Ovis aries: one gene and its partners. The protein of the gene in region 1 interacts with the protein of each later gene in a pairwise test. Links are inferred from orthologs where the notes say so. Each region holds a gene or a part of one and is shown on either strand. Other genes may lie near its edges.

What was found.
Region 2: the proteins of SEC23B (region 1) and PRRC1 interact in binary tests that used the Homo sapiens proteins (3 or more experiments, as listed by UniProt). The two-hybrid records come from large-scale screens. The link is inferred for Ovis aries from reciprocal best matches to the Homo sapiens genes SEC23B and PRRC1.
Region 3: the proteins of SEC23B (region 1) and HOXA3 interact in binary tests that used the Homo sapiens proteins (3 or more experiments, as listed by UniProt). The two-hybrid records come from large-scale screens. The link is inferred for Ovis aries from reciprocal best matches to the Homo sapiens genes SEC23B and HOXA3.

Annotation. Positions count from the first base shown.
Region 1 is NC_056066.1:38,146,121-38,150,421, forward strand, and holds the start of SEC23B (protein transport protein Sec23B), read left to right. Parts: upstream 1-1,494; 5' UTR 1,495-1,569; exon of another isoform or gene 1,570-1,587; intron 1,588-3,422; 5' UTR 3,423-3,437; coding exon 3,438-3,658; intron 3,659-4,301. UniProt on the Homo sapiens protein: Component of the coat protein complex II (COPII) which promotes the formation of transport vesicles from the endoplasmic reticulum (ER).
Region 2 is NC_056058.1:24,195,738-24,199,385, forward strand, and holds part of PRRC1 (protein PRRC1), read right to left. Parts: intron 3,458-3,648; 5' UTR 3,440-3,457; coding exon 3,337-3,439; intron 2,256-3,336; coding exon 1,866-2,255; intron 1-1,865. UniProt on the Homo sapiens protein: May act as a regulator of the protein kinase A (PKA) activity during embryonic development.
Region 3 is NC_056057.1:70,508,050-70,511,697, forward strand, and holds part of HOXA3 (homeobox protein Hox-A3), read left to right. Parts: exon of another isoform or gene 1-77; intron 78-3,154; 5' UTR 3,155-3,274; coding exon 3,275-3,648. UniProt on the Homo sapiens protein: Sequence-specific transcription factor which is part of a developmental regulatory system that provides cells with specific positional identities on the anterior-posterior axis.

The DNA of each region.
Region 1 (4,301 bases):
AGTTCTAACAAATTAGATTACTACATCTCTTAAAGGAGCTTTGTTCTCATTGGCTTACGTAGGGGAATAGAATTTGCGTTATCTTGTGGGAGCTAAGTTCCCCAACCAGCGACTGAATCTAGGCCCTCTGTAGTGAGCTCATGGGAGTCCTAACCATTAGATGGTGAGGGAATTCCTGAAAATTTTTCACATTAACAGTAACTTCACAGTACATCAACTTGAAACTTATTTCTATGATCTGTTGGTCATTTCTTTGTGCTAATATTAACTTGGTGTTGGAGAAGATTGTTGAGAGTCCCTTGGACTGCAAGGATATCCAACCAGTCCACCCTAAAGGAGATCAGTCCTGCGTGTTCACTGGAAGGACTATGTCGAAGCTGAAACTCCCAATACTTTGGCCACCTGATGGAAAGAGCTGACTCATTTGAAAAGACCCTGATGCTGGGGAAAGATTGAAGGCGGGAGGAGAAGGGGACAAGAGGATGAGATGGTTGGATGGCAGCACTAACTCAATGGACATTAGTTTGGGTAAACTCTGGGAGTTCGTGATGGACAGGAAGCCTGGCGTGCTGCAGTCCATGGGGTCGCAAAGAGTCGGACACGACTGAGCGACTGAAACGAACTGAACTAACTTGAGCTAATTAACTCTTGGACGCCTTGCTATGATCTAAGAATAGTTTTAAAGTTATATAATTTTGCTTATTCTTATATGCTACACAGAGGCGGCATCTCTGAATTAGATTAACAAACGCGCTCCTTTTTGCCACTTAGAGGGGGTAAAACGGTAGTGGTGGTTGTAGAAAGTTGCGTCCTAACCGTTAGGAGTTTCGTTAATCTCTTAAAATGCTTGACTACGACAGCTCCCAATTATTCACCTTCTCGTGGAAGGATGACAGGGATAGACAAGAACTGTTTACTAATGCCTGGCCCCGCAGAGAGCCTCAATGCACCTGCGCAAACCAGAACAGGAACACCCACAAGACAAAGAATACCCGTAATTATACCTCTGTTCACCGACTGGACTCCTGCGCGCACACACCCCACTCTCCCTTAGCTCCGCCCCCTCGTGCGTGCCGACACCTCCTTCCGTCCAACTTCGGTTTCCTCTGCGAGCAGCCCCGCCCTCTTCCGGGACCAGACGTCATCATTCTCGCTTCCCGGTATCTAAGGTGATGAGGGGGACTTCCCACTGAAGGGAGCGGGCGTCTTATTGGACGGCGGCGAGCTCCTGAGGCGCCCAAGTTGCGCCTAGAAAACAGTTCTGTAGGCGCCTGTGTTCCGTGAGGCAGAAGGGTTTAGAGTTGAACGTGGAAAAACGTGTATTCTGAGGAACTGTGATTTTGAGGCGTGAAGCGCGTCTGGCTTGCCCTGTTTCAATATGGCGGCGTAGCCTGTCTGAGTGTCTTCCTTCCTCTCTCCCGCCCCCAGGCTTTGTTTGATTGGCTAGCGGACGGCGCCGTAGAGTGACGCACAAGGCTGCTGACCAATCGGCTTAGAGCTGAGGTGGACTTGGTGGTTGGAGCCGGAGCCCGGCTTTTAGCAGCTGTGGTTGCGGAAGGCTGCGGCCAGGTGAGCTTCCTGGGCCAGGTGAGCGGGCAGCACAGGTGATGGGAGGCCTAGAGCTGGGATAAGAGTCTCTGCTGAGGGCGGGTGGGTTACTCCTGGGGCGAGGCCTTTTCCCAGCAGGCGGAGGAACTGAGGGGATCGGTGACCCAAGGGTTTGTTGAAAGTGGCTCGGTCCCCGCCAGCTGGGGCGGTGGGCCTGCTTTTGGCGCAGAATCCCTCGGACTCGAGGGAGGGGGCCCAGAAGGATCCAACGTCCATTTTAAAGTTGAGGAACTCGAGAATTAGTTTAAATGATTTACGCTTCGTAACGGAGTCGGAGCTAAGAACCCAGGTCTTCGGACTCCTTGCTTAGCCTTAGCTGCGTCCTGAAAAGTCATGCCCTTAAGGTGGGATGAATGGTACAGATTTTTTTTTTACAGATACATATACAGGATCTTAATGCACTGTTGGCTCATGCACACAGTTTTGCATGTAGTTTCAAAGGATTTATTGACCTTGTGAAGTTCCTTGTTGGCTGTGAGCCCAGAGTTAAGAATCCACGCTGTTGAAAGAGTGAGGGGAAGAGAGGCAGTGGGAAATGGACAGTGCAGGTTTTACTATGTAGATGCTTGGGGACATAGGACGGAGATATAGTACCTATTAGTAAGGAAATGTTTTGAGAAGGAAAATGGTCACTAAATGAAAGCTGCTGAGGTGCTTGCTGAGAGTGCTTTCATTCCCACCTAAATTACCTTTTGCTGCCCAGGAAGCTGTGGAAGTGTTTCTGTGTATATAGTGCCTCAGTTTCCCACTTTTGCCAGACATAACATATGCCTCAGGGGTTTAATTGGAACAGACATTTGGAATTTCTATGATCAATGTTGTGTGTAGCAGAGTAATCGGTTCATTCACATTTATAAGCTGTATATTGTTTTCTTTGTCCGAGTTATTAACAGTATGGTACATCTTAAAATAATTGGAGACAGTCATTATTTAGCATTGCATAAGTGAGCACTAGAAGCCACTTATATAATAGATACCTTAATTTGCCTTTTTTCCCATTGTTGAGCTTTTTGTTCCCTTGAATCCTACCTAATAGCTGAACTGTACGTTAGCCTAGATTTTAGTATGTAAACAGGATGTATAGGGCACTCAGGGGAATTGGCATTATCTGGGTTTGAAAGTGTACTTAATCTGAATGGCTGTTAAAGTTGGAATCTTTCAAGGCATGAGCATAAGTGACTGTGGTGAGAGGATGGGTGCTGCTGAGGTGTGTATGTAGTGTAGTAGTCCGCTGGCCTTTAATTCCGGTGATCCCAAGAAGTACTTTGGGTAAGCACTGGGGGCTGTTCACTCCATGAATAGCATTTGAGCATCAGTATCTAGGTCTTTTCTTTGTAGTTAATAATGGAAAGAGGGAAAAGGGCACAAAACCAAGATCGCTTGGAATGTAAATTTTAATACAAGTTTTACTGAAATAGAATCAGGAGGAAAGGGGGTCAGGGAGGAAGGTAGCCAGCTTCTGAAACAGGGCTTGAACACGGGGTTGAAATCTGCTTGGCTGAAGTGATAATGTGCTGTTTGAGGAGATTTAAATGACTTACTCAACTGCATGCAGCTTAGAGATGAACAAGTGATTTTAAACCTCCCGCCCCTTTTATTTTTTTTAAGTGCTAGAAACGGGGATTTGGGAAAGGAAAAGGAAAGTAGCCATAAAGTTAACTGACCCTTGGGGGTCAGAGAGAAGTGAGACGTTGACATCCTCCAGTGACAAGTTCTTCTAGACTTAAGTGTTTAAAGAATGTTGCGTTAGGTCATCATCTTTTTTTTTGAAGTTCAGTTGGGAATTTCACATACAATTAAGGGTTTATCTGTAGTTTTTTTTTTAGACAATGGCCACATACCTGGAGTTCATTCAGCAGAATGAAGAACGCGATGGTGTGCGTTTTAGTTGGAATGTGTGGCCTTCCAGCAGACTCGAGGCTACAAGAATGGTTGTTCCCCTTGCTTGTCTTCTCACTCCTTTAAAAGAACGTCCAGACCTGCCTCCCGTACAGTATGAACCAGTGCTCTGCAGCAGGCCAACTTGCAAAGCCATTCTCAATCCACTTTGGTATGAACTCTTTTAAAAACCAGTAAAAAGGATAACTGCAATAAATTCCGACGTTTACGTGATTCTCATAAAAGTGATTCATTTGGGCAAGATGTCAGATCTGAGATGAGTAGTGAATAGTGAGATACTTAGGTAATGAGTGCTTTTGGGAATCCCTCTGGCCTGATAACTCCAAATAGAATTAGAACTTACAGGGTGACGTGGAGGGAAAGGATTGGTTGTTGTTTTTCCCTTCTGGTTTGCAGTTTATTTTTGGTTTAACCGTTCATTTTATTGGTGTCTTTAAAGCTTTTTCCAGAAAAATCCAAATGCTCTAGACAGTTCTGTCACACCTACCTGGTATGGTGATCCCGTATGGCAGGAAGAAATAACAGGCAGAAGAAATTTGAGCTCTTGAAAGATGTTATTGTTAAGTGTAACTTTTTTTTGCACCTGGAATAGTGACCTGTGATCACTCTCGTAAATGTGGGCACTCTTTGAAAGAATTTGTAAACAAATGAAGAGTGTCATAAATACTCTTTAAAGGATAAAATTTTTATATAAGGGAACTTTTTTTTACTTCATTCTCCTTGCTTTTACTTGATGTGCCCATGTTTAAGATGCTGCTGCTCTTTTAAAATAATAGCCCCTGATATTAATTTTC
Region 2 (3,648 bases), on another chromosome or scaffold:
AAAGATGTTCTTGACCTAGAAAATAAAATAGTCCGATACCACCAACTTACGGTACATACACTTACTTGATTTTGATCTTTTACATGGCTAAATAAAACTACTCCCTGGATCGTTGAGTCCTGATAATTTTTAAGTAAAGCTATACTCAGGACTTCACCTTGGTGTTTCTCTATAACTGCACAAAATTTTAGGACAAAATTTTGTAATTTTGTCTTACATTTCCCTTTCTTCGTGGCTCAGCTGGTAAAGAATCTGCCTGCAATGCAGGAGACCTGGGTTAGATCCCTGCGCTGGGAAGATTCCCCTGGAGAAGGGAAAGGCTACCCACTTCAGTATTCTGCCCTGGAGAATTCCATGGACTGTATAGTCCATGGGGTCACAGAGTCAGACATGACTGAGCAACTTTTGCTTTCACATACTAACCGTGTTCTAAGTTTCATATCATATAAAAATCATATTAAGTAATATCAGTTTTATTTCAATACTTTAAATGAAAATAGGAAGCTCTGAAAATCAAGGAAAAGGGAATAAAACATTCATGCAGAGTAACAAGAACCCTCCTTTACTGGTGCTAAGAAAGTAAAATGAATGGTGCAGCTGCTTTGGACAGTAGTCTGATAGCTGTACTAAATTCAGCAATTCTGACATGCACCCCAAGAGCAGCACTATTTACAGGAGCCAAGACATGGAAGCAGCCTAAATGTCTATCAACAGGTGATTCAATAGATGTGGTGTATGTATACACAACAGGATATTACTCAGCCATAAAGAAAGAATGAGATAATGCCACTTGCAGCAACATGGATGGACCTAGAAATTATCATACTAAGTGAAGTAAATCAGACAAAGACAAATATCACATTATTCCTTACATGTGGAATTTAAAAACATGATGCAAATGAACTTATTCACAACACAAACTCACAGACAGACCAAAAAAATTTTTTTAATTAATGGTTATCAAAGGCGAAGAGGAGGGGAAAAATTAGGAGTTTGGGATTAACAGAAAAACATTGCTATATATACGTATAACAGATAAATAACAAGGACCTACTGTATAGCACAGGGAACTCTACTCAATATCTTGTAATAACCTATAATGGAAAAGAATCTGAAAAAGAATAGATATAGATATATGTATAACTGAGTAACTATGCTGTATACCTGAAACTAACACAATGTTATAAAGCAACTTTACTTCAATTTATTTAGAAAAAAATAAAAATGAAGCCCTTCAGGAAAAAAAAAAAAAAAAAACTCAGCAATTCTGAACCTAGGTACATACTCAAGAGAAATGAAAACATTTCCACTTAAAACTTGCACACCAAGGTTCATAAAATCAGTACTCACCATAGCCAAAAAGTGGAAACAACCCAACAGTTTATCAACTGATGAATAAATAAAACATGGTATATCCACACAATGGAATATATTTCAGTCCTAGAAAGGAAGAACGCTCTGACACCTGTTACAACATGGATGAATCTTGAAAACATCACACTAAGTGAAAGTGGCCTGTCACAAAAGACTACATATTAATACAAGTCTATTTATATGAAATGTCCAAAACAAGCAAATCTACAGAGACAGGAAGTAGATTAGTGGTTCTGAGAACCATGAGGATTGGGAGAAGTATGGAGTGACTGCTAACAGGTATGCAGTTTCTTTAGGGGTGATTAAAAGCTTCTAAAATTGACTGTGGTGATGGCTGCACAACTTGGTAAATATAGTAAATACTATCAAACGGTACATGTGAAAGTGAATTGTATGGGAATTACACCTCGATAAAGCTGTTTAAAAAAACAAAACAGATAAAACATTCCCCATATATAGCCACCTGTTTCAAAGTGTCAATGACAGAATACCTGTCACTGGAGGTGCAGAAAACGACGGCATCAGGGGTGTCTGCGGAGCTCTTCCTGCATGTCCCCTTGTAATGTCGTAAGCTGAGCCAACAGAGAATCCCGAAGTGGGAGGACCCGAAGGGGGTGCAGATAAGAGAGTGTTTGGGGCAGAGGTGGAAGGCGGGAAGTGGGATAGAGGAGGATGACTGAAGGCAGCACCAGTCGGTGGAGAAACAGGAGGTGGCAGAGAGGTGACGAGCGGAGGAACCGAAGGAACTGGTGAAGATGGCACAAAGGGCAAGGGTGCCGCAGGCTGCACAGGAGGCAGGGACGGCTGGGGGGTGGAGAACACCTGTGGCGGCAGGCTCTGCACAGAGGACCCGCTTGGAGAAGAGAAGGTGCTGGCTGCAGCTAGGAAAGAGGGGAGGAAAAATCACGCTTCAGTGACATGCTTTTCACTTAGTTTTCAAAGTATCTCATTATCATCTTGGAAAATTTTTAAATTTAACAGATCCTATTCCCAAGAGTTATCTTTAAATACATAATTTAAAATACATGAGTATGACTGAGTGCAAATGACTCTCAATTCCCATCAGTAAAAACAGCAGGTATATACAACTAGGTTATGGTATTGCAGATCTTTGTGTTTCCGTTTGTTTTGTTGTGCTTTTAATAAAATAGACCTGCTTTTCATCTCTGCTAATACGAGCATAAAACCTCACAATTTAGGGCTCAAAAACTTTGGTCAGAAGGTTAATCTCCACGAAGTCACAGAACATTAGACAAAGCTAACGTGCTTTTTAGGATATTTCTGTCATGACAAAGATGATTTCTAGTTAATATGAAAACAAAAAATAAAAATTAAAGCAAACAAAGATGTTTTCTGCCTTTGGGCTTAAATAAAAAAGGCTATTTACCTTCATCCTGGCAAAGATTACAAAAGTTTTAATATGTAGGCACACCTCAGTTTATTTTGCTTCATTTTACAAACTGAAGGTTTGTGGCAACCCTTATGTCAAGCAAGTCTATCAGTGCCGTTTCACCCGGCAGCATTTGTTCTTCATGTCTCTGTGTGACATTCTGGTACCTCTCAAGATATTTCAAACTTTACATTATTATTGTATTTGTTATGGTGATGCATGATCACTGATCTCTGGCACTGCAAAAAGACTGCAACTCGCTGAAGGCCCAGATGATAGTCAGCATTTTAAAGCAATGCTTTAGCAAAGTATTTAACTGAAGTGGGTACATTGTTTTTTTTAGACATAGACATAATCTATTACACACTTAACAGACTACAGTATAGTGCAATCGTAATTTCTATATGCACGAGGAAATAAAATCCACGTGACTTGCTTTATTGCAGTGGTCTGGAACTGAACTCACAGTATCTCTGAGGTATGTCTCTAGGCTTTTGTTCAATGACTCTGAGAAAAGATGACAGTACCCTGACTCTCCTCAAAACCCACTGATGCTAGACAACTGCACGTACCTAAAGGAGCCGGGGAGGAGGACAGTGCAGCAGAAGCAAGGCCCCCGGGATTCGGTGGAGGGGTCCCAGGTGGCGTTGTCTCTATTCCACTTTCTTCCATCATTTTTCAATTTCAGTAAAACTGTAAAAATATTAAAATGTAATAAAGATTACACAGTAATAAAAAGTATACTTTTAAACCTTGTTATCAGTTCAGTTCAGTCGCTCAGTCGTGTCCGACTCTTTGCGACCCCATGAATAGCACACCAGGCCTCCCTGTCCATCACCAATTCCTGGAGTTCACTCAGACTCACGTCCATCGAGTCCGTGATG
Region 3 (3,648 bases), on another chromosome or scaffold:
GTGCCACTAGCCCAGGCAGAGCCCCGCGCCGCGCTAGCGCTTATCTCCGGGCCGCGGCTGCTGCCCTCGGGAAGGGCAGGGGGCGGGGGTGTGGGGGAGGGGAGGGTGGGTGGGGTGGGTGGGAGGGGGGGTCCGAGCCGCCCCAGTCCGCCCTGGGCTAGCCGTGCCGGAGCAGCAAGGCGGCCACGCTCTGCACCGCGACGTCCGGGCCTCGGGGTCTCCCTCCCGCCCGCCGTCTCGGCCGATGCTGAAGGTCGGTGCCCATCCCGCGCCGAGGGGACCCGGCCGGGCCGCCGAGCCGGGCCGGGGGCCGGAGCCCGAGCCTGCGCCCGAGCCCGAGCTCGTCAGAAGTTAAGGTAAGCAGGGCTCCAACCGGCGGCTCTCAGCGCTGAATGGTGGAGTTTACGTCTCGGTGATTTATGGCTGCAGACTTAAATCTCGGTTCAAGAAGAGTTCACAAGCCGGAGCTTCCTTCCCGGCAGTGACTGATACCCTTACACTTCGAGTTCAGGCCGCTTTCCCATCCCCACCCCCACCTCGTCCCTCTCCCAAGCCCAGCCTCAACTTTTCGGGGTTAGGAAGGAGAGGAAGGGCTGGGCGAGGGGACGCGGGGTTTCTTACCCGCCTTTCCCGCTTGAACTCGGGGTGAGGGCAGGCCGAGGAAGGGGCGGGAGTGGAAAAAGAGAGCGGTGTCTGAAGGAAGGAGGTTGAATTTGGGCAGATCTTCCAGAGAGACAATAGGGCTTGCTTCCTGCAGTCAGTTTAGCCTCCTCAACTCTCAGTTCTTGTACCTGAGGGTTATTCTCCAGAAACGGAGCTTTTCAGAGGAATCTCCTCCCATCTCCAACCTTTGCTTGGGGGTGCCAAGCAAAGTTTCCTGGCTGGCAAATTTCCAACTTCTTTACCAGGTTGCAAACTTTGGGGGCTGGATTGGGGTAGAGAGGAGGTTTGTGGGTTGTGTGGGCCCCAAGGTGGGCCTCAAACAATAGGAAGGGCTTTAGTGGGTGAGTTCACATTTTGAGATTGTGGAGTTTGTTGTTTGCTCTTAGAGGTTTAAAGGTATTTTAAATTATTTTACAAGGCAATGCATAACTTGACGAAAAGACTTAAGCCGCAGGCGGGTGTAGCCTCTGATAATGGATTAGCAAGTCACTTGAAATATTGCATGTTCAAGATCAGCTTAATTTTGTTTTATCTAATATCTTGCTGTTCAAGTGTCTGGAGTAATTTTCTTAACCTGACGTTTTATTTTCAAAGATACAAGCCCAGTATCTTAAAAATTTATAATGGCAGACATTAACACTGCCAAATGTAATTGGAACTATTTTCAGTGAAAGAACAGGAAACAGGGACATTCAGTTGCTATTCTGTTTTAAATTTTATTTTATCCTTTATTTACTTTTGATCGTGGGATCTGTAGCTTCCTATCTATTTCCAAAAGAGAAACCGTACAGGCTTAAGATCACATACAATAACTCCGGATAAGGGATGCTGTAATTTTTAATTGTGGTTCTGGGAAATTAATTGTGCCTGTTTTCCAGATGGTGGTTAGATTGTTGGTTTAATAATGAAATCCAAAAGTCTATTATTAAAACCAAAATTATAATCTTTCACTGGTAGATGCTTATTACAGTTAATTTTTTTCTAGTTAACAAAGGGTGTGCTATTTCTGGAAATCTTGAATAACTCCAGGGCACAAATACACATAGTTGAGGTATGCAGTGTAAACCCTTTTCTTCATGAATTTGTTATTGTAATTTTCTTAAATGGTCAGAGAGACTAACATTCTGATTGCATGGTGGGGTGGGAGGCGGTGACTATATGAACTCACATGAAAGTTTTCTGAGCTGAGAGCCAGAGGTTGACCATGCAAAGCTGAAAACATAAAACATAGATTTCACTTTTACAACATGCTTTTTAAATGAAAAGGGATTGAGAAGGCTTTTAGTTGCTTTTTAGCTTTCCAGGTTTGTCCTTTACTTTGTATTTCTAAAGCAGGTAAATAGGCCAAGTAGCACATAACAACAACAATAACAGAACACAAAGATCAGAGAACTCTGGCAGGATTTTATGGCTTGTGCTTCCATCCCTCGTCCGGAGCCAAATGACCCCCATACATCAAATTACATAGCAGTTTCTAAGACAGAACCTATTATCGTTAAGTTGGAAGGAGAGTTCAAGCGGTGGTCATGGAGATGACGCTGGTTTTTCAGGTTCCTGATGGTTTTTTTTTTTTTTTCCTCTCTAATCCATCATGTTTTAACAGGTAGAATTTGATAGTTGTCCTGAATAACAGGACCTCAGAAAGTCCAAGGCAGGAGGGTCTGGGGACTTCTGTAACAGGGGGAAAGAGGTGGGAGTGGCCTGCTGGGACCTGCCTGAGAAATAGGGAGAGGGAGGAGTAAAGAACTGTTCAAGATTTGAGTTTTACTTTCTGGAGAGGGTCTTGTTGTCTGTCTCTTCCCACCCGGAATGTTCCATCCAACATTTTCTCTCCCCTTCTTGACCACAGAGGTCTCATTAGGAGGAGGTAGGTCGTATCCTTACACAAAGGTAGATTAACTGTCTAACAAGCTCAGCTTCTGAAATCAACAAGGGTCCAGTCGGGCTATTGCCTGAAAAGATTTTGTGCGTACCTCTCTTGGGTGCTGAAAGGTCCAAGAAGGGCCTGGATGGGAAGTCACCCCGCGTCATGGTTCTTTTGGCAAATATTAGTCTTAAAGAAAATACTGGAGGAAACGTTGGTGACCCAAACTCTCCTTTGCCCCTCCCCTCGATCTCCAGAAGGGAGGAATGCAAGGAGCGAGCGGAGACCCCAAGTTTCTTCTTCCCTGGAAAATAAGGGATTCGAATCCTGTTCCTTTCTAGTCCATCAGGCCTTTCTCCTTTTGAACTCCAGCCCCGGCTTCCCAACCTCTCTCTCCTCCTCTCTCCCTGGAAAACCCCCCAACTCCAGACGCAAGTTAAGCAAATATTTGTAGCTGCCAGTAAATTCCAGCGGCTTTTTATAGCGCGGCTCTCTGCGCCCGGGGCCAAGTCGTGCTGCTAAATATTGCTGACCACTTTTTCTTTTATGGCTTTCATGTCACTTAGCTATTGAGAGTAAGATGGATTTGCGCGGAGCCCTCACGGCGCTGCGATTCTCGCCCCCCAGGTCTGCGCGGGGCGGCCATTGGCTGCGGAGCGTCACGTGACCGCGGGGGCGTGCCAATGTGCGCCCTCACGGGTGTCAAGGCCCTGTCAGAGTGTGCGATCAAGATTGTGAAACAACGCGATGCAAAAAGCGACATACTACGACAGTTCGGCGATCTACGGTGGCTACCCTTACCAGGCAGCCAACGGGTTCGGTTATAATGCCAATCAGCAGCCGTACCCGGCATCCACAGCGCTGGGCGCAGATGGCGAGTACCACCGACCCGCCTGTTCACTCCAGTCGCCTGCAAATGCCGGGAGCCACCCCAAGGCGCACGAGCTGAGCGAGGCCTGTCTGCGCACCCTGAGCGGTCCTCCCAGCCAGCCTCCGGTTCTCGGCGAGCCGCCCCTGGCCCCACCGCCACCCCAGGCTGCGCCCCCTGCCCCACCGCAGCCTCCAGCCCCGCCGCAGCCCCCTGCACCCACCCCTGCCGCGCCCCCGCCCCCCTCTTCAGT